Drosophila melanogaster: one gene and its partners. The protein of the gene in region 1 interacts with the protein of each later gene in a pairwise test. Each region holds a gene or a part of one and is shown in the gene's direction. Other genes may lie near its edges.

The links.
Region 2: the proteins of Cse1 (region 1) and nocte interact in a two-hybrid assay, tested with the Drosophila melanogaster proteins (one large-scale study listed by BioGRID).
Region 3: the proteins of Cse1 (region 1) and Gcn2 interact in a two-hybrid assay, tested with the Drosophila melanogaster proteins (one large-scale study listed by BioGRID).

Annotation. Positions count from the first base shown.
Region 1 is NT_033779.5:16,820,553-16,827,064, reverse strand, and holds Cse1 (chromosome segregation 1), read left to right. Parts: upstream 1-1,857; 5' UTR 1,858-1,998; coding exon 1,999-2,083; intron 2,084-2,565; coding exon 2,566-3,425; intron 3,426-3,496; coding exon 3,497-3,980; intron 3,981-4,048; coding exon 4,049-4,351; intron 4,352-4,416; coding exon 4,417-4,573; intron 4,574-4,629; coding exon 4,630-4,930; intron 4,931-5,003; coding exon 5,004-5,741; 3' UTR 5,742-5,909; downstream 5,910-6,512. Other genes in the region: mdy (midway), read right to left, coding at 349-582, 643-915, 976-1,286, 1,343-1,486, 1,547-1,655, 6,135-6,187, 6,256-6,347, 6,406-6,512; CG13280 (uncharacterized protein), read left to right, coding at 6,059-6,122. UniProt on the Drosophila melanogaster protein: Export receptor for importin alpha. Mediates importin-alpha re-export from the nucleus to the cytoplasm after import substrates have been released into the nucleoplasm.
Region 2 is NC_004354.4:10,471,558-10,476,579, reverse strand, and holds the start of nocte (no circadian temperature entrainment), read left to right. Parts: upstream 1-1,904; 5' UTR 1,905-2,527; exon of another isoform or gene 2,528-2,642; intron 2,643-2,992; exon of another isoform or gene 2,993-3,411; intron 3,412-4,436; 5' UTR 4,437-4,610; coding exon 4,611-4,700; intron 4,701-4,796; coding exon 4,797-4,962; intron 4,963-5,022. Other genes in the region: CG2889 (uncharacterized protein), read right to left, coding at 185-397, 455-899, 958-1,378, 1,440-1,562.
Region 3 is NT_033777.3:31,393,695-31,401,673, forward strand, and holds Gcn2 (Gcn2), read left to right. Parts: upstream 1-1,965; 5' UTR 1,966-2,296; coding exon 2,297-2,362; intron 2,363-2,428; coding exon 2,429-2,598; intron 2,599-2,707; coding exon 2,708-3,219; intron 3,220-3,291; coding exon 3,292-3,919; intron 3,920-3,972; coding exon 3,973-4,545; intron 4,546-4,610; coding exon 4,611-4,787; intron 4,788-4,851; coding exon 4,852-5,350; intron 5,351-5,408; coding exon 5,409-6,461; intron 6,462-6,523; coding exon 6,524-7,494; intron 7,495-7,556; coding exon 7,557-7,683; 3' UTR 7,684-7,866; downstream 7,867-7,979. Other genes in the region: Ugt35D1 (UDP-glycosyltransferase family 35 member D1), read right to left, coding at 1-1,268, 1,329-1,560.

The DNA of each region.
Region 1 (6,512 bases):
CGATAGATCGTGTATTCTAGGGAAGGAACTATCGAACAAAGAGCTTAATAATTACATTTTTTTCGTTTCATATAATTTAAAAATTAAAAACATTTTATTTAGTTTAAAATTTGATTTATTTACATGACACTTAAATTCATTAACAAATGCATTCAATAACAATCTATTTGTGTTAATCAGTACTACATGCATGTGCAAAAGTCATACAAAATATGCTTTGTAAATTGGCAATCACAAGTTTCCTTCTTAACTTGCATTCTGGCTTATAAATTACGAAAAGTACACGGACCCGACCGATGCAGATATTTCAGTGTTGCTCCATTTTTAAATGTTAACCTTTTTTGAAACCTAACTACTGTAGTCGGTGCCGTTGAGCGAGTTTTTGAAATGCTGGACGACATAATCGTGATAATAGGCCATTATGCACAGAGGCTGACCAAGAATAATGGAAGCCCACACGATTATATTGCCCATTCGGGGACCCAGTTTCTTTTCAATGGATTTGGATATGGCCGATAGGGGAATCTGACCCATCATGCCCATAAATGCCCAGATCTTGTATATTTGCAAAGGAACTGAAACCTGAAAATATAAATTATATTATTGTACAAAATTTGAAATTCTAAATATCAACCCTCATACCAAATATTCATGGAAGACGGCACTGAAAAGAAAGACAATAGTAGAGGCCTGTCTTGAGGAATATCCCATTTGGACCACAGGGATGTAGAGATGACGCACGCACCACCTATGAACTGGCATGTTCCATGTACGCCAGAAGGTGTCAATGTTATTCGCATTCCACCAATCACAATAAAAATTGCGATCTGCAAAATTCAGCAGTTCGCCGACCGCATTAAGAAAAGAGTGGAACATTAGATAGAAAAAGCAGAGCCAGCAAAGATGATTGGGTAGCTAATTAAAGAAAAATTATTAAATAATACTCAAACGTTTTATAATTTTCACTCTACCAACCGCAAGTTTAAGAAGTCGCTCAGTGGCTAAGGCCACGTCCATATTGGAGAACGGAATCAGGGAGTTCCGAACCGATGGAATGATCCATTGTTGAAACAAGGCCATAACCACATTCACTCCAATCACCACCTCCAATAAACGCTTCAGCAAAAAGCGTTTGCGCACGCGAGAAGTTCGCGGGAAATTCAACTCATAGCAGAGAGTGGGCGCGCAAAGGAAGTACAGGAGATCCTTGTATGTGAGATTATCAGGATATTGCACCAGCTTGGAAACGTCCTCGTCTTCTTCACCTCCATTCAAAACTCCTTTTTCTGGATGAAAGATGAATTTTTAATATATGACATTCCGTTGAGAGATCTCAACATACTTAGTTCCGCCAAAGTTATGCTTGGTCGACGCTCCCGCGGATTCTTTTGATAATAAGTCTGACGGCACCACATATTCGTCTGCACATAGGACCATAGTTTTAGGAACAACACAGAGTAAAAGAAGCAAACTGTTGAAGCGCCCACTAAAGATTAACAGATAATTAAATATTTTAAAATACACCTAAACTAAGTTAATTTCTCACTCAAACTAAAAGCATGTCCTTTTAGGTGAATTGTTACCACCGGTAGGCAAACCAAGACAACAATGTTCACTATCTGGATGAACAAGCCCAAGCCCTCTGCAATTATTTCCTGGAAAAGAATTACAAATTTGTTTTAATTTTTAATTCATTCAGTTGGTTTTTGAAAAAAAAAAACAGGAATTGATATCATATCAAATGATACTAAATTAGTAAAGTTCAATATGCGATATTTCTGATATGAACATTTAAAATCTAAAACCATCGAATCCTAGTAACAGTAACTATAAACAATCGATATCGAAAACTCGCCCTGAGTTCCATCCCCAGATCGGCGAGCATTGTGTGCGAAAACGAATTGCGATTTCATTTCATGTTGCAAGAGTGTGGAGGAACAAGCCACGAGTGATATAAATTAAAGCAAATAGGACCATCGAAAAGAAAATATACTCAAAATGGAAGTGACAGAGGCAAATTTACAGCTGCTGGCCGGTTATTTGCAGCAGACGCTGAGCGCCGATCCCAATGTCCGCCGGCCGGGTGAGTGTGTGTGTGTAGGAATGCATGTGCACACACACAACTGCACATGCGTGCAGGGGTGCTGATGTGTATGTGCGCGGGAAATGGTTTTTGGCGACGCCAAAGAAAAATACGGTTTTTAAATCCATTTGAAGTTGTCTACAAGTTTTCCCTATGTCAAAGAATTTATACAGTCACGCTTTCTATTAATTGAATCGAGATTAGCTGATCTTGATATGACTGTTGCCAAGCCACCTTTCAAAACCATAGACCTAGTTTTAGGATTATTTAAGGCATACCAAGCCTATAGACTCCGCACCACCATAACCAAGCTTTTGAAAATATTGTATAAAAAACTTATTGCTTGAATTGAAAATATGTTTAGTCTAACGAGAAACACTGTAAGCTCCTATCGGTTCCTTATATATTTGTATTTGCAACATCCGATTTACATAAGTACAATAGTTCTAACAAACACACCATTTCCTTCTCTACTTTTATAGCCGAAAAACTTTTGGAGTCCACGGAACTACAGCAGAATTACCCGATCCTACTGCTCAATCTGATAGACAAAGCCCAAATGGACATGACTACGCGGGTGGCGGGAGCCATTGCCTTTAAGAACTATATTAAGCGGAATTGGGCAGCCCACCTTGACAGCGACGGACCGGATCGCATCCACGAAAGTGACAGGAATACAATTAAGACCTTGATCGTTACGCTAATGCTCCACTCACCGGTGGCATTGCAAAAACAACTAAGCGACGCGGTCAGCATCATAGGCAAATATGATTTTCCCAAAAAATGGCCGCAGCTTATCGACGAGATGGTGGAGAGATTTGCCTCTGGTGATTTCAATGTCATCAACGGCGTTTTGCAAACCGCACACTCGCTTTTCAAGCGCTATCGTTATGAGTTCAAGTCGCAGGCTTTGTGGGAGGAGATCAAATTTGTACTGGATCGTATGGCTAAACCTCTGACAGACCTGCTCCAGGCCACAATGCAGTTGACTAAGGTGCACGAGAACAATGCCGGCGCCCTGAAGGTCATCTACGGTTCATTGGTCCTTGTGAACAAGGTGTTTTTCTCGCTCAACTCCCAAGATTTGCCGGAGTTCTTTGAGGACAATATCAATACGTGGATGGGAGCGTTTATTCAGCAACTAGCTGCGGATGTGCCATCCCTGCGTACTGCAGATGATGAGGATGCGGGTGTTCTAGAGCATCTGCGTGCTCAAGTCTGCGAGAACATTTGCCTTTATGCAAAAAAGTACGACGAGGAGTTCAAGCCATTTATGGAGCAATTTGTGACTGCAGTTTGGGAGTTACTGGTCAAGACAAGTTTGCACACCAAGTACGATTCGGTAAGTAACAGAAACCATACGCTTTCTTAATAATTATTTTTATAATTTTTCCATTCTTATTTTGCGCACAGTTGGTCTCCCATGCTCTGCAGTTCCTCTCTGTGGTGGCTGACCGCCAGCATTATCAGAGCATTTTCGAGAACCCAGAGATTCTTGCTCAGATCTGCGATAAAGTTGTCATTCCCAATCTAGACATCCGGCCCTCAGATGAAGAAATTTTCGAGGACAGTCCGGAGGAGTACATTCGAAGGGATATTGAAGGCTCTGACATTGACACACGACGTCGGGCGGCATGTGATCTGGTGAAGACTCTATCAATCAACTTTGAACAAAAGATCTTTGGCATTTTTGGCCAGTATCTAGAGAGATTGTTGACCAAGTACAAGGAGAATCCGGCTACCAATTGGAGGTCAAAGGATACGGCAATTTATTTGGTTACTTCGTGGGCATCTCGAGGAGGAACTCAAAAGCATGGCATCACACAGACCTCGGAGTTGGTTCCACTTCCCGAATTTTGTGCCCAGCAAATTATTCCAGAACTGGAAAGACCCAACAGTAAGCCCAAATAACCATTTTCCCAATTCGATCATCTTATATCTGCATTCTTCCAATGCTCTTTGCAGTTAACGAGTTTCCTGTTCTTAAGGCTGCTGCAATTAAGTATGTAATGGTGTTCCGCAGCATTTTGGGTCCCCAAGTCTTAGCAAGCTGCCTGCCCCAGCTAATTCGACATCTCCCCGCCGAAAGCTCTGTTGTTCATAGCTATGCTGCTTGTTCAGTGGAGAAGATCCTTTCTATGCGGGATGCTAGCAACGCGATCGTTTTTGGTCCTCAGATTTTAGCACCTTACACAACTGAACTAATTAGTGGGTTATTTGCGACCCTTTCACTCCCAGGTTCCGGTGAAAATGAGTACGTAATGAAAGGTGAGTTTGGGGGACTATCTCATACGTTTCTAATATGTTAACAAAACTCTAATTATTATTATTAGCCATTATGCGAAGTTTTTCGGTCTTGCAATCGGCCGCCATGCCCTTTATGGGCGTCGCCCTTCCACGGCTTACCGAGATTCTCACCCAAGTGGCCAAGAATCCATCGCGTCCGCAGTTCAACCACTATCTTTTTGAAACGCTGGCTCTGTGTATAAAGTAAGTGTTATGCATTTTGGTGGTAAAGAGCAATAACAAATTTTCTTTTTCCCTAGAATTGTTTGTCACGCCGATTCCTCGGCTGTGAGCTCCTTTGAGGAGGCATTGTTCCCAGTTTTCCAGGGCATCTTACAGCAGGACATTGTCGAATTTATGCCCTACGTCTTCCAGATGCTTTCTGTGCTGTTGGAAATGCGCGAGGGCACTGGTACCATACCGGAACCCTATTGGGCTTTGTTCCCCTGCTTGTTGTCACCAGCTCTGTGGGACAGGACGGGCAATGTCACACCATTAATTCGCCTGATTTCTGCTTTCATCAAGCAGGGATCTGCTCAGATTCAAGCCTTGGGTAAACTGGTAAGTTATATTATACATCACAAATTTTATTTTACAGAGTCCAATCTTATGCATTTTTCAACATATATTTCAGAGCGGTATCCTCGGAATATTCCAAAAGATGATTGCCTCCAAGGCTAATGACCATGAAGGGTTTTATCTTCTCCAGAATCTGCTTTCCTACTACCCTCCCGCTGAGATTCAAACTAATCTTCGTCAGATCTTTGGCCTGCTCTTCCAGCGATTGTCTCTCTCAAAGACTCCGAAGTATTTAAGCGGCATCATTATCTTCTTTAGCTTTTATGTGATTAAGTTCAGTGGCAGTCAGATGGCTCAATTGATAGATGAGATTCAGCCTAACCTATTTGGCATGCTGCTGGACCGCGTGTTTATCACCGAAATGGGCAAGATTCCCAAGGAACAGGATCGCAAAATGGTGGCCGTGGGTGTCACTAAGCTACTTACAGAAACTCCTGAGATATTGCAGCAACAGTACGCTACTTTCTGGCCACGACTGCTGCATTCTCTAATCGATCTTTTTGAACGACCACCAGAGAAATTGATGGGTCTCGAAATAGGAGAGACAGCTGGAGTTGCCGAAGATCCCGATGCGGGCTATCAAGTGGCATTTGCCCAACTGACTCATGCCCAGCCCAACCAGCAGGATCACCTGGCTGAGATTAAGGATGCTCGCCAGTTTCTAGCAACTTCGCTCTCTAAGTTTGCCCAGGCTAGGGCAGGAGAATTTTCCACTTTGTTGTCGCCCCTGGAGCCGGAGTACAAGCAAGTACTCCAGAAATATTGTGATCAGGCTGGAGTACGCATTGCCTAAAGGAATCGACCGACTTTAAGCTCATTCATCGCAATCAAACCTCGCCATACATTCGAAAATTTATGCATACACGCACTCGATCACTCATTGCATGCCCAGTTTATTGTCATTTAAAAATTGTATCTAATATATGTAAGTTTTGTAAACAATTAAAAATTATGTTTTCCGAAACTAGTGTGTTTCAACTGCGATAACTTCTGAATATTTCATACTTTTCTCTCTGATAAACAAATCATTTCTTGTCAAACACCCTTCACTCAATTTCAAAATTGTGAATTTAGAATTAACTAGATATTTCGAAATTTATCATATAAGCCATGTTCAAGCTAATAACGTATTTCAAGTCACGATCGAAGAAAATAGGCGTGAGATGCTATCAAAGTAAGTACTTACCATGGCTAGACCCTTCTCCACAGCCAAACAGAGCGAGATATGCACTAAAGAGTCTGTAAAATATGGTGAGACGAAGGTTATCAATTTCGTTTGCGTAATCCTTGATTTTGTGCGTGCTTACAAATGCTCAGGATTAGGGCGTTATGTCCTTCGCCTTCGTTGTGTCCGCTTATGAAGAAGAACCAATCCAGTGGATTGATGCGAATGCCATACCTAAAAAAATAATGAATTAGCTAAAACTTGTATTTCTACTCAAGATCATCGTAGTTACTTTAGGAGATTCTCCAAGCCCAAACGCAGACCTCCAATGCAGAGCAGTAGAAATCCCCAGTTCACCAGTCCAGAAAAATTGGTAAATCCAGAGCTCCAAGAAAACAG
Region 2 (5,022 bases), on another chromosome or scaffold:
TCAACTTGCAAGACAGTTTTTTTATCTTAAAAAAATTATTTCTTTCTTGCTATTCTCGAAACAGTGTGAGTGCGGAATAAGTAGACAGCTATCCCTCTCATTTGCGTGTGGAATGAATAAAGATTACTAATTCAAATATGGGGCAAGAATTCCAATTCGATCAGAGACCCTGCTCTATTCTCACCTTTTGCAGCAGATCTCGCAGGTGTGCTCCAGTTGATCGGTGTCGTGCTTGGCCAGATGATTGGCCATACGGCGCTCGCTGCTGAAGGTGCGTTCGCACTTGGGGCACGGGAACTTGAGCACCTTGCCGATTTGAGCCACCTTGTTGTGCACCGTCTCGATATGAGTGGCCAAGTAGTCCTGCGAGTTGAGCGACTTCTTGCAAATGGTGCAGCTATGGGATTTTAAAGTCTATGTAGCAACAGACAGAACCCTCGGGCTTCAAACTCACGTAAATAGCTTGGGGTTGATATGTTTGCGGATGTGGTCCATCAGCTTGGAAGCGCGTGTAAAGACTTTGCCGCAGCACTTGATGTAGTACTCGCGCTGGTGCACCTCCAGGAAGTGGGTCTTCAATTCGGATAGGTAGGGAGCACTAAATTCGCACAGGTCGCAGCTTGCACTCATGTAGCTAGCAATGGCCTTCTCGTAGCTCTTGGCCAGCTGAGCACGGGAGCAGCCCTTGGGCTTGCGCTCGAGAACGGCCTGTAGCTCGGACTCCTGCGACTCGGTGGTTGTTCGCTGGTCAGGTGCCTTCCTGCGCCGACGCTTGCCACCATCGTCGAGCAGATCTGCAAGCTCCTGCTGCAGCGATATCGGACCCTGATCCTTGGAGGAACGTGCCGAGGTTTTGCGCTTGGGCTTCATTTTCGATTTCAGACGGACCAGGGGTTCATCTGCAATGGAACAGGAACTTAGTTACGGCTAATCCTTGGGAAACATTAAGATAATAACCATCTGAGGAGTCAGATTCAGATTCCGGCTGCCCCTCGGTCACCTCCGGTTCGCTATCACTAGCTTGCAGGCAGGGCTTCTCGTCCTCCTCCTCCTCGCAGGGCAGCTGCTCCTTGATCGGTTCCCTGACTTCCACACTGTCCACATTCACGTCCAGCACGCTTCCCAGCAGACTAAGGTTGTGCAGGTCCAACGGTTTCTCGTCCATGTCGCCAGCCGCCAGCGGCAGTTCGTCGATGTTGACGTCCACGTCCACACCGCCCGTCCACTTCATGGCCGCACAGTCGACGTCCACGGTAAGGAACTCCTTCTTGAGTGAGCACTGCTTCTGCTCCACCAGCTGCCAGAAGCCATTGAAGTCCTCCAGATGCTCACAGCACTCGGTACAGACGCTGGTCGAGATGCCGTCGTCTGGTAGGATCTGCATGGGATGGCTTATTGGAATTGTTTTGATACCATTGGTATTTGCCAGATACACTCACCTCCAGCTGCAGAAACTTCGCAATCATCTTGACCAGGCGCGTCTCCGCAAGCGTATCGTCCGTCTCAAAGAGGAAGACAGCGCTTCCGGGACTAAGACATCGCAGGCAAAGGCGACAAATCATTTCGCGCGAACAGAACCACAACGCAAAGTCAAATAAATAAAAAATTTAAACAGTTTTTCGTTGTAAACAACATAATTCACCTATCGTGAATCGATAACAGAATCCAATTGTGAATGGCAAAACTTCATCTCAGGAGTTTTTTGCGGGGTGGCCACCCTGATCGTTGAGTATTTCTCTTTAATTTCTCTTACAATTTATGGTCTACGTTTTTAATTGTCTGCAAAATACGCTGTAAACGATTATCCATTAATTAAAAATCGAAAATATGAAACTTAATATATCGCTGGATACACATCAAAACGATGGCATTCTGCGGACGGTCAGGCAGCACGCCAATCGACCCACACAACTCTGGCAACGCTTGCCGTAAAATGGCAAAAAAATAATACATACGATTTAAAACTAATGGACAATTACGTATTACGTGAAAAGAACGCAACGCAAATAATCAAAACAAATAAGAAACGCAACTCGTGTGCGTGTGTAGTGTGTGTGCAGAGCTAAAACCTAGCGAAGGAAAGGCAAAAACCCGTGGAAAAAGCGAATTCAAACGGGTTTACTCGAAGCCTCCTCACCCGATACCATTTTCCACCTACACTTGCAAAAAAGCGACAGCGCGCGAGAGGGACGGCGCGAGTGAGCGGAGAGTGGGAGAGCGCAGTGCAAGTGAGTGGGAGCGAGAGCGCTGACAAAGCCAGCGCAACATAGCGAAAATCGCAACCAAATCGAAATCGAAATTCAACCAAATCGAAGATTCTGGCGAACAAAGGCGACTAACAACAACAACTGCAGCAGCGGCACGTCTCGTCTTGGTTGCGCTCTCTTTTGTTTTCGTCCCGTGTTTTAACAAGCGGCGAAACGGGCGCTGAGTAAGCGCCAGAAAGAGTGCAAAAAAAAGGCGAAGGAAAGAAAGAAGCCAAGGAGCAACGAACTGTGTTTGCGGTGTGTGCTCTGCGTGCGAAAGGGTAAGCTCTATGGTCTCTCATGCTCTCGCTCTGGAAGTAGGCCGGAACCGAGATTTGTTTGCTAAATTATGTTTAATTGCACAGCGGGTTTGTAAATCTGTGATTTTGTTTGTAGAAAATACGCATTGTATCAAAGAAATATTTTTGTCGGTTCTGTCAAATTCGACGTGTGGGAGTGGGAGGGAAGTTCAGCTAGTCATGTTGTCCCGCTCTATATCGCAAACAGCGTTGCATTTGTCGTCGGCAGGTCATCGTGGTCCGTTTTCTCTTTTTGTCGGCATCGATGCATAGAGTCCGTGTTAATTTCCGTTTAATCGCTAAATAGCACGCTCTCTAATTGTTTAATAATTGCCAGGCGACTGCCACCCCCGGAATTAGTTTCACTCGGCGGTCTGGCTGGATCCCAACGGACCAGGTGGCAACGCCGCGCTCCACACCACTCACGCACGCAATACATTCGAAAAGTGAGAAGTGGTAGAGGAAGAACTCGAGGAAGAAGAATTAGCGGCAAACTTTATGTTGGACGGTGAAAAGCAGAATCAAAAGATATCAATTTCCGCGAAGTTAACAGTTAAATAACCAACATACAGGCGGCCAAGTGTGCCAGCAGACCGCGAAACATTCGAAGTAAACAAATTCAAGCGTTTTCCATTCAGTTTATCATCGCTGCCCAACAAACGAAACTCCCCGAGTGTATTGCTGTGTGCGTGCGTGCTGTTTAAACGGTATATTTTACTCGTCTCTCCTCTTTGTTTGCCTTTGCCAGCCACTGTGCCATGCAAAATTAATAAAAGGATACGGCTGTAAAACAAAAGGTGGTCAAAAAAAAAAATTGCACTCGTCGATTAAATAATAACTATCAAATCCTCTCGGTTTCTGCGAACGTAAGTGTGTGTGTGTGCGTGATGTGTGCGCCTGTGCCTGCGTGGTGTTAGTGTGCGTTGTGCTTGTGAATGGTTGTTATTACAAAAAGGAGACATAGAATTGTTGCCAAGCGTTTAGATTGTCTTGTACTCCCCCCACTTGCATCTGTCAAATTGGTTACATTTTAAATGCCGGCCTTTGTTGTTGTCGCTCTTGTTGCGAGGATTTTACTGGCCCCGTTTTTTCTATTGTTGCTGTAGTTGTCAGCCATTGTTCGGCCGCCCCTTCACGCCCCCTGCCGCAATTATTACAAGACGCCACCGCAAAAAATTCTTTCAATGCGTTGCCGCTTCTGCCGCTGCTGGCGCTGGTGTGTGTGTGTGGGTAAATCTATCTAGCTGTCCCGCTTCCGCTGTCACCCGCCCAAGGCAGCCTCTCAGTTGCGTGTGCTGCGAGGCACTGGCTGTCCTGCTCGCACCAAACATTGCCTGCATTCAGTGTCGGATCAAAGGGGGGAGCGAAACTGGGAAATAGTTGCCCCAAACGTTTTCGTAATAAACGCAATATCAACAAAATACCAAATGATTCTACAAACAGTTTCGAATGGTAGTAGTCGAATGGAATTACACTCTAGTTGTTACTTTAACGAAGCATTAAGAACTTGAACGTATTTCGCAACAGCATGTGTTGGAAAACTACCAAGAAACTTCTTTAGTTTCAGTGGAAATGAAATATCAAAAGCATTTCTACTAAAACTCGGTTTAGTTGAAACCCATACCTATTATTGTTTGAAGAGGTTATTTTCCAAATTATTTGCAATATCTTTCTAAGAAGAACCAATTTTCGCTACAGATCCACCTCTGTAAGCGTTAGTGGTGCGGATCGGTTGGGGGTGGCTAAATAGAGGAGTTCCCGGACACACAATAACCAGCGTGTTGAAAACAATTTGTCGGGAGCACCACCCACTTGCAACTGACTAGCCTCGCCTCGCTACGCCTGCACCTATACTCAATTAAATGCCTATCTACGCTTTTGTATTTTGCAGCCCACCAGAAAGACTGAAACAAGGAGCTTCGGCCCAAAAGCGATCCCAGCTCCTTAAACTCATTCTCGTCAAGAACCACAGCCACATCCTAGCCCATCCTCCAGCGCAGCGGGAAGACGAGGAGCGCGGCGGTGGCGAGAAGGAAGCTAACGCTAATGAGGATCTATTGGCAGCATGAGTACACTGGGGGGAAGTAGGGGAGAGCGAAATGCCAAGCCCAAATTCACAGCGTTAGATATAAATCGCATGTACAAGAATAGCCGCGTAAGTAGCGAGCCCCTAGACCTAGATCTAGATCTACATCTAGATCTTGATAGATCCAAACCTATCTGATCGCCAACTTGTTCTTATTGTTTGCAGGGCGAGTCAAGTGAACCATCTGCACAAAAGAATCAAGTGCCACGTAAACATGGAATGCAAATCTTGGGCAAAGTGCCGTCCGCTAGGCGACCACCAGCCAATTTGCCATCCCTGAAGGCCGAGACCCACACCAGCAGCAACAACAATCTCTTAGTCTCAGTCGAAGGTGGGTGTTCTACGATTTTATCTTATTGAAAGCGTGTGTACTAAGATGTACCTTTAACTG
Region 3 (7,979 bases), on another chromosome or scaffold:
CATAACCAACAGATATGTAACAATTCCCAGGATAACTAAAGCGCCAACCAAAAAAGTGCCGAAGACATCTAGACTGTGGTATCTTACAAAACCCAAGTCCTTGCCGGCGACTTGCATGTGAGCAGCTCCCTTGTGAGACAGGACATACTCGGTCCACCAGATCGCCGTTTCCATGGGCTTCATTGGTTGATCCCGATATCTGGCAGCCGTGATCCTTGCCGTTTCTTCGAAACTCTTGTTCGTTAGCAGCCGTATAATTGTAGACCTAAATTCCTCACTGGTCATTTGCTTTATGTTGAGGACCAAACCAAGACCCACTTGCCGGACATGATCCATATTTCGAAACTGATCGAATAGGCAGGGCAACCCCAACATGGGCTTTCCATGGTGAATACTCTCTATAGTGCTCAGTAGCCCGCCGTGGGTTATAAAGAGTTTTACATTGGGATGGGCCAGGATGGCCTGCTGCGGGAACCACTTACTAATGAAAACATTGGGGGGTTTTCCTGGCAGCAGTTCATCTTCGAACTTCCAAACGATTCGCTGTGGCAAGCTGGCGAAAGTCTCGAGCAATACCTTTCGACGATCCTCGGATAGCGATTTGCTTTTGACATTGGTTCCCAGTGAGAAATAGATTACCCCCGATTCACCAGCACCTTGGATAAAGTGGTCCAGTTCGGCGGACAGAGCCTCTGTGCTGTGATCGACATGCAGACCACCCACCTGGATCATATTCGGAACATAAGGACGAGGAGGACCCAGTGTGAAGTGCTGATTGACCAGGACCAAATCAAAGTTCCGGGATATCTCTGACAAGGGTTTCCGCTCAGCGACGCTGGGGAAAAATTGACTATAGAGAGTCTCCTGTTTTCTCACATGTCGCCATTTATAGTTCATATAAGAAAAAGTTCGCTCCATCAGGTGCAACAACCGCTCTCCATAGGCCTCCAGATCGTAGAATCGAGAAGAGGGAGACTGCAGGTAAGAAATCGGTGAGACGTTGCCCATCAGTTCGTCAATCTTCCAGTCGGTGCCATAGGAAGCCATTCCGATGATCGGGGCATCAAAATAGGCAGCCAGGCCACTGAGCACGTCCATTCGCCAGAGATCCATTATCACAAGATCGAAATGGGGCTTCTGTGGGCCTAGAATATCGCGCCTTACGCCCTCGTTATTCAGCACTGTCTTCGTAAGATTAAGGACATATTCGTTGATGAAATCACTACTTTGCCAGGTGCTCCTGGGAGTAGATGCAATCCTAAGGACCTCTGGAAAATATCGTAAGTATTTCTATTTGACAAATCAGATCTTTATTTATCTCATCTCACCATTAAAGTTTTCGAAAACCTCGGGAACTGGAATATCGTGTATATTCCTAAACGGCTCCCTTTGTGGATACGGACTTACACTGGTTATTTCGTGGCCCAGGGAGGCCAAACTCTTAAGGTAGGGTAAGGCGAAAAAGTAATGCGAAGAACTTGGCAAAGGGAACACTGCCAGGATGCGAGCACCTTCCGAGTAACCAGGAAGAAGACATACGAGCAGAAAGATTGGCGGCATTGTTGCACTTGGCAAGTTCTGCCTTCTAGACGAAATGGAAGACTGAATGCTGCAGATCGCCAATGAAAACTCTATTTCCATTTCAGATAACCTTAATCCGCTGCGCTTTGAGTACAATTGTCAAATTTTCAATTAGATAAGCAAAACCAACAAGGAATGTCAACAGTGAAGAGTGCTGTTAAATCGCTTATCGCGGAATCCCAGTGGGAGGAGTTTTCTTCTCTTTTCAATTAGTTATCATGGGAATAGGCCTCTTTGTGGGCAAGGCCTACGTTTGAAAACAAACACTTATCTATATTTTATTGAAAACCGACCATTGTCATTCTTCGGTTCAAAAGACAACGAAGTCGAACGTTGGCGCCAAGTATCGATAGTGCCAACATTGGACTTTCAGGCTTGTTATCGACACTTGTGCACCACTAGCCTTCAGTACAAAATACGCAAAAAATTTTCTTTTTCCGGAAAATTAAGTGGAAAGCGCAACAGGTTGTTCTCTTTACGCAACAAAAACGGCAGGAGTTCGCGTAGTAACTCATTTCACATCGAATTCAAGTCGAATACAGCAGCAAAGTAATGCAGCACGCAGCTGATTTGGAAACAGCTGCCAGCGCAGTTTGTGAAATTGCACACCGGCTAAAATAACCCGGTGGGAAATCCGAAGGAACTTCCGATCCAGTATTCCAAAGCACCCAGATGTAGCCAAGACTTATCCACTAACCGGAGATTTAATGCAGAAATGGCGGATGAAAAGGCCAAGGAATCCTTCCGCGAGCGGCAAGCGCAGGAGTTGGAGGTTATAAAGGTGAGCAGAGCAGGTGTTTCATCCAAGAAGCTGATACTAAAGGCTTATCTCCTTATCTTGGAACAGTCCATCTTTGGCTGTGATGTGGAGGACCTAAGACCCCAGGCGAATCCTTCCCTGTGGAAGCCAACGGACATACGGATACAACTTACCCCACTTCGAGACTCCTCGAACGGACTGGAAACCTATGTGTGCACCAAGCTGCACGTCACCTGTCCATCAAAGTATCCAAAATTGTAAGAGCCCAGTTCCACTTATTCTTAAAAAACTGAATTTTAAACTATAGAACTAACCACTAGAATGTGGAATGCATTACTCAAAATAAGTAAACCAAACTTTCCGCAGGCCCCCTAAGATATCTCTGGAGGAGTCCAAAGGCATGTCGGATCAGCTGCTGGAGGCCCTACGCAACCAATTGCAGGCTCAATCCCAAGAGCTACGTGGCGAAGTGATGATTTATGAATTGGCCCAGACCGTTCAGGCCTTTCTCCTCGAACACAACAAACCACCAAAGGGATCATTCTACGACCAGATGCTCCAGGATAAACAGAAGCGCGACCAGGAGCTACAGGACATACAGCGGCAGCGGGAGTCCCTGCAACGCCAGACGCTCATCGACGAGGTGGAGCGGCGCAAAGAGATGTTCAAAACGGAGGCTAAGAGGCGCGGCGAACCAAGGCGCAGCATGAGCGAGTCTAACCCACGGCATCCTAGCTCGTCGGAGAGCTCCGAGAACTCCTCGCCCTACTATCGTGGTCACATCTACCCCTCCAAATGCCTGGATCACCGCAACACGGAGACGCTCTACTTCCACAAGATGGGCAGGCAGATTCAGCGTGGATGCTGCGTTGGTGAGGGTTCGCTTTCCTAAAGAGAATTCCTGTTTTGAATGCGTCTGAACTAAGTAATTTATTGTGCGTAATTCCTAGGTCACTCCCAACGAGGTTGCATCGCCTACACTGGCATAGATATGCACTGCGGCCAGTTGCTCTACATAACAGAATGGAACATCAAGTACAGCCAACTGGAGCAGCCATGCATCGGCGGAGGCAAGTGCCACTGGAGCAGCGAGTCAAAGTGCATGGGCAGTCATCGTGTGGACGAAGTGATGGCCTCCATTGAAAAGCAGGTGTCCTCACTGTCCCAACTACAGCACAAAAACCTCGTCTCGTACGAGTGCGTACTGTGCATCAAGCGAAAGGAAGGTCTACTTGTGTATTTGGTCCAAGACTTCCTCCTTGGCACCAGCGTGTTCAGCATCTCCTCCTCGCTTGGCTGGTGCATGGACGGCGCACGAATGGTTGCGCGCGGCGTGCTGGACGCCTTAGTATTTCTTCACAACAAGGGTGTATCCCATAGTCACCTGCTCGACACCACTGTTTTTATGGACAACACAGGCAATGTGAGGGTATCAGACTTTTCGCTCGTTCCCAATCTTCTAGAACTTCTGAGCGGAGCTGGACAAAGCAGCAGTTGCGGGGACTTACCCGCGTTAGGTGCCCTGGTGGAGAGTTTGATGCCCACTAACAGTTACGAGATGCGCGACTTTGTAGACAAGTAATTAATTGTAATGAAAACTTAATCCTTTTTTAATTTAATGTTTTCTTTAGGTGTAACTCGGACCGAACTCTTTCCGCATCAGAGTTATTGGAGCATCCATTCTTACGCTTTTACGTCGACAATGGCCAGCAGCAGGTGATGCCATTACCACAGCAGCAACATCCTAACACCGTCCAGCGCACTGGATCCGCCATGCCGTACCAGATACCGACACTGGCCCTAAGCCAATCCCGCCTGCGAACGGAATTCGAGGTGCTCATGTACTTGGGAAAGGGTGCCTTTGGTGACGTGCTAAAGGTGCGCAACATTTTAGACAACCGAGAGTACGCCATCAAGCGCATACCATTGCCCGCGAGGAGTCGCCAGCTGTACAAAAAGATGACGCGCGAGGTGGAGCTTCTTTCGCGGCTGAATCATGAGAATGTAGTTCGATACTTTAACAGTTGGATAGAAAGTGTAGATGACGCAGATGCCGCTGAGATGGATAAGCTGCTGGGCGGTGAGTGGTCCCAGAGTCAGCAGGACCTTAGCGTAAAACCTGCCAAGTCACCACAGCTGGGGCCCACTTTAGAGGAGGACGAGGATGAAGAGGACAGCTCATCCAGCATGTGGAACGGTTACATGTAAAAATTAGCTTCTATGCTTCCTCTAATTTGAATTAACGCTAACACCTCTTCGTATCCATCAGACCCAACATGGAGGACTCTGATTCGGATGGCATTGAATTTGTGGACTCCAACGGCAAGGTGGCTGTCTACGACGACGAAGAGCAGGAGGATTCCACCAGAGGCAAGACCAATTCGCCAAAACCTTTGATGCAGGTCATGTACATCCAGATGGAGTTCTGTGAGAAATGCACATTGCGGTATGTTTTTCGAAAGCTTCACCAATTAAATAACTAATTAAATAACTATTTAATAATACTGTAGCACCGCCATCGATGACAATCTCTTCAATGACACGGATCGTCTGTGGCGCTTATTTCGGGAGATTGCCGAGGGTCTCGCGCATATTCACCAGCAAGGCATTATCCATCGGGACCTAAAGCCCGTTAACATCTTCTTGGACTCGCACGATCAGATTAAGATCGGTGACTTTGGTCTGGCCACCACCAGTTTTCTGGCTCTCCAAGCCCACGACGCAGCGCCTGCGCCTGTTAACCAGATAACCAGTGCGGAAGACGGCACTGGTACTGGTAAGGTCGGCACCACTCTATACGTGGCTCCCGAATTGACAGGAAATGCTTCCAAGTCTGTGTACAACCAGAAGGTTGATATGTACACCCTGGGAATCATTCTTTTCGAGATGTGCCAACCGCCGTTCGACACAAGCATGGAGCGGGCTCAGACCATTATGGCTCTCAGGAATGTTTCCATTAATATACCGGATGCTATGCTTAAGGATCCCAAGTATGAGAAGACGGTGAAGGTAAACACGTCGCCATCCTGATAAAAGCTAAGATTTTCACTGTTATATTATTTTTAAGATGCTTCAGTGGCTTCTCAACCACGATCCCGCCCAGAGACCTACTGCCGAGGAGCTGCTCATCTCAGACCTGGTTCCACCAGCCCAGTTGGAGGCCAATGAGCTCCAAGAAATGCTGCGTCACGCCCTCGCTAATCCGCAGAGCAAGGCCTACAAGAACCTAGTTGCCCGATGTCTTCAGCAGGAGAGCGACGAGGTGCTGGAACACACCTACCACTTGGGAAGCAGTCGAGCTATGAAATCCTGGAACTCGGCAATTATAATCGATGATATAGTATCCCTGAACCCAGTGATTGAGTTTGTTAAGGCTAAGGTCGTGAATTTATTCCGCAAGCATGGAGCTATAGAGGTGGACTCACCGCTCTTATCCCCACTTTCCGCAAGGAACAGCACTGCGAATGCGAACGCCAATGCCGTACACCTTATGACCCACTCGGGATGTGTGGTGGTGCTACCCTGTGACCTGCGGACTCAGTTTGCGCGTCACGTTACCATGAACAGCGTGAATCTCATCCGGCGCTACTGTGTGGACCGTGTCTATCGGGAGGAGCGAGTGTTTAATTTTCATCCCAAGCAAAGCTACGACTGCTCTTTCGATATAATTGCACCCACAACTGGAAGTCATTTAGTTGATGCCGAGCTGCTGTCGTTGGCTTTTGAAATCACCAGTGAACTGCCCCGATTACGCGAAAAGAATTTGGCGATCCGCATGAACCACACTAATCTCTTGAGGGCCATCCTCATCTTCTGCAATGTACCAAAGGCTCAGTATGGAGCACTCTTCGAGGGCACCATGGACTTCATCGAGTCGCGCATCTCACGCTTCCAATTTCACTCGAGTATTACCGGGATTATGGAAAAGTCGCGAACATCTGCTCAAACTCTGATGGACATGTTGTTAGCTAACTTTCTGCTGACTGGTTCCAGAAGCACTGTGGACGATTCCGCGCTGAAATCTTTGATGCGTGGAAAGGGAGAAGCAGCTTCACTGGCAAGGGGAGCATTGCGGGAACTTGAAACAGTTGTGGGACTGGCTTACAGTCTAGGCGTAAAGGTAAGTAGTAATCTTCTTTTAAAAGCAATATATTTGTCTAACCGGTTCCCATTCCCTTTCAGTGTCCTATACACATATGGGCTGGCTTGCCCATCAGCTTCGATCGTGCCAGCAACGGTGGAATTGTGTGGCAGATGACCGCTGACCTGAAGCCCAATCGCTCTGGCCATCCTTCGGTTCTGGCGATTGGGGAGAGATACGACTCTATGCTGCATGAATTCCAGAAGCAGGCGCAGAAGTTTAATCCCGCCATGCCAGCACGTGGAGTTCTTAGTGGAGCGGGCTTGACGTTCTCCCTAGACAAGCTGGTAGCTGCTGTTGGTGTGGAATACGCTAAGGATTGTCGGGCGATAGATGTGGGCATTTGCGTGTGTGGAACCCGTCCACCGCTAAAGGATGTGACCTATATCATGCGTCTGCTGTGGTCGGTTGGCATCCGATGTGGAATTGTGGAGGCCGCCAGCGAATTGGGAGATGAAGCACAGGATCTTGCCCGCCTTGGGGCGTTACATGTCATCCTGGTGGCGGAAAATGGCTCATTGAGAGTGAGATCTTTCGAGAGGGAACGATTCCAGGAGCGTCACCTAACAAGAACCGAACTGGTGGAGTTCATCCAGAAGATGCTGCGAAGTGATGGACTCAATGGGACCACCGTGGACAACTTCAGCCAGTTGTCAGCCTTGGGTAGTGGTGACAACAGAAGCAGTGGTGGAAAGGAAAGAGAACGCGGCGAGAATGGTCTGAGCACCTCCGCATCGAATGCCACCATCAAGAACAACTATAGCCAGTTGCCGAATCTTCAGGTGACGTTTCTCACCCACGACAAGCCAACGGCGAACTACAAAAGGCGGCTAGAGAACCAGGTGGCGCAGCAGATGAGCTCAACGCTATCGCAGTTCCTCAAGAAGGAGACCTTTGTGGTCCTGGTGGTGGAGTTGCCGCCTGCTGTTGTAAATGCCATTGTGGGGGCCATTAATCCACGGGAAATACGCAAGCGAGAGACTGAACCGGAAATCAACTATGTGATCGAGCGGTAAGTTAACAAATCAATTCTATTTGGTCTGCTTTCAACTGCAACTTCATCAATTCATACAGATTTTCGAAATACAAGCGCTACATCTCCGAGATAAACGAAGAGGTTGTCGACTATCTGAGCGATGCCAAGACTCCCATTGTGGCCTTGTACAGCATATCCGATTCCTACTACCGCGTCATCATCTAGCCAACATCAAATGCATAGAATCGGCTGAACTACTTAGTAGACCAGCCAGTAGTGTAAGCTCGAAAGTGTCACAAATTATTTTCGCCGAAATTCTACTTAACTGGCTGCCCTCCGTGCCATTAACACTTTTGTTTGTTTGTGCGAATCAAAATTGATGAGATTGTATGTTTCTGTATCCATTTCAAATGGTTGAGAACTTATTTCTATTCTGCCAATTTATTGAATGCCTTTCTAGTGGAAGCTCTCATTCATAAACACATATTTTATTATAACTTGGTTTAAAGTTAAATCCATAC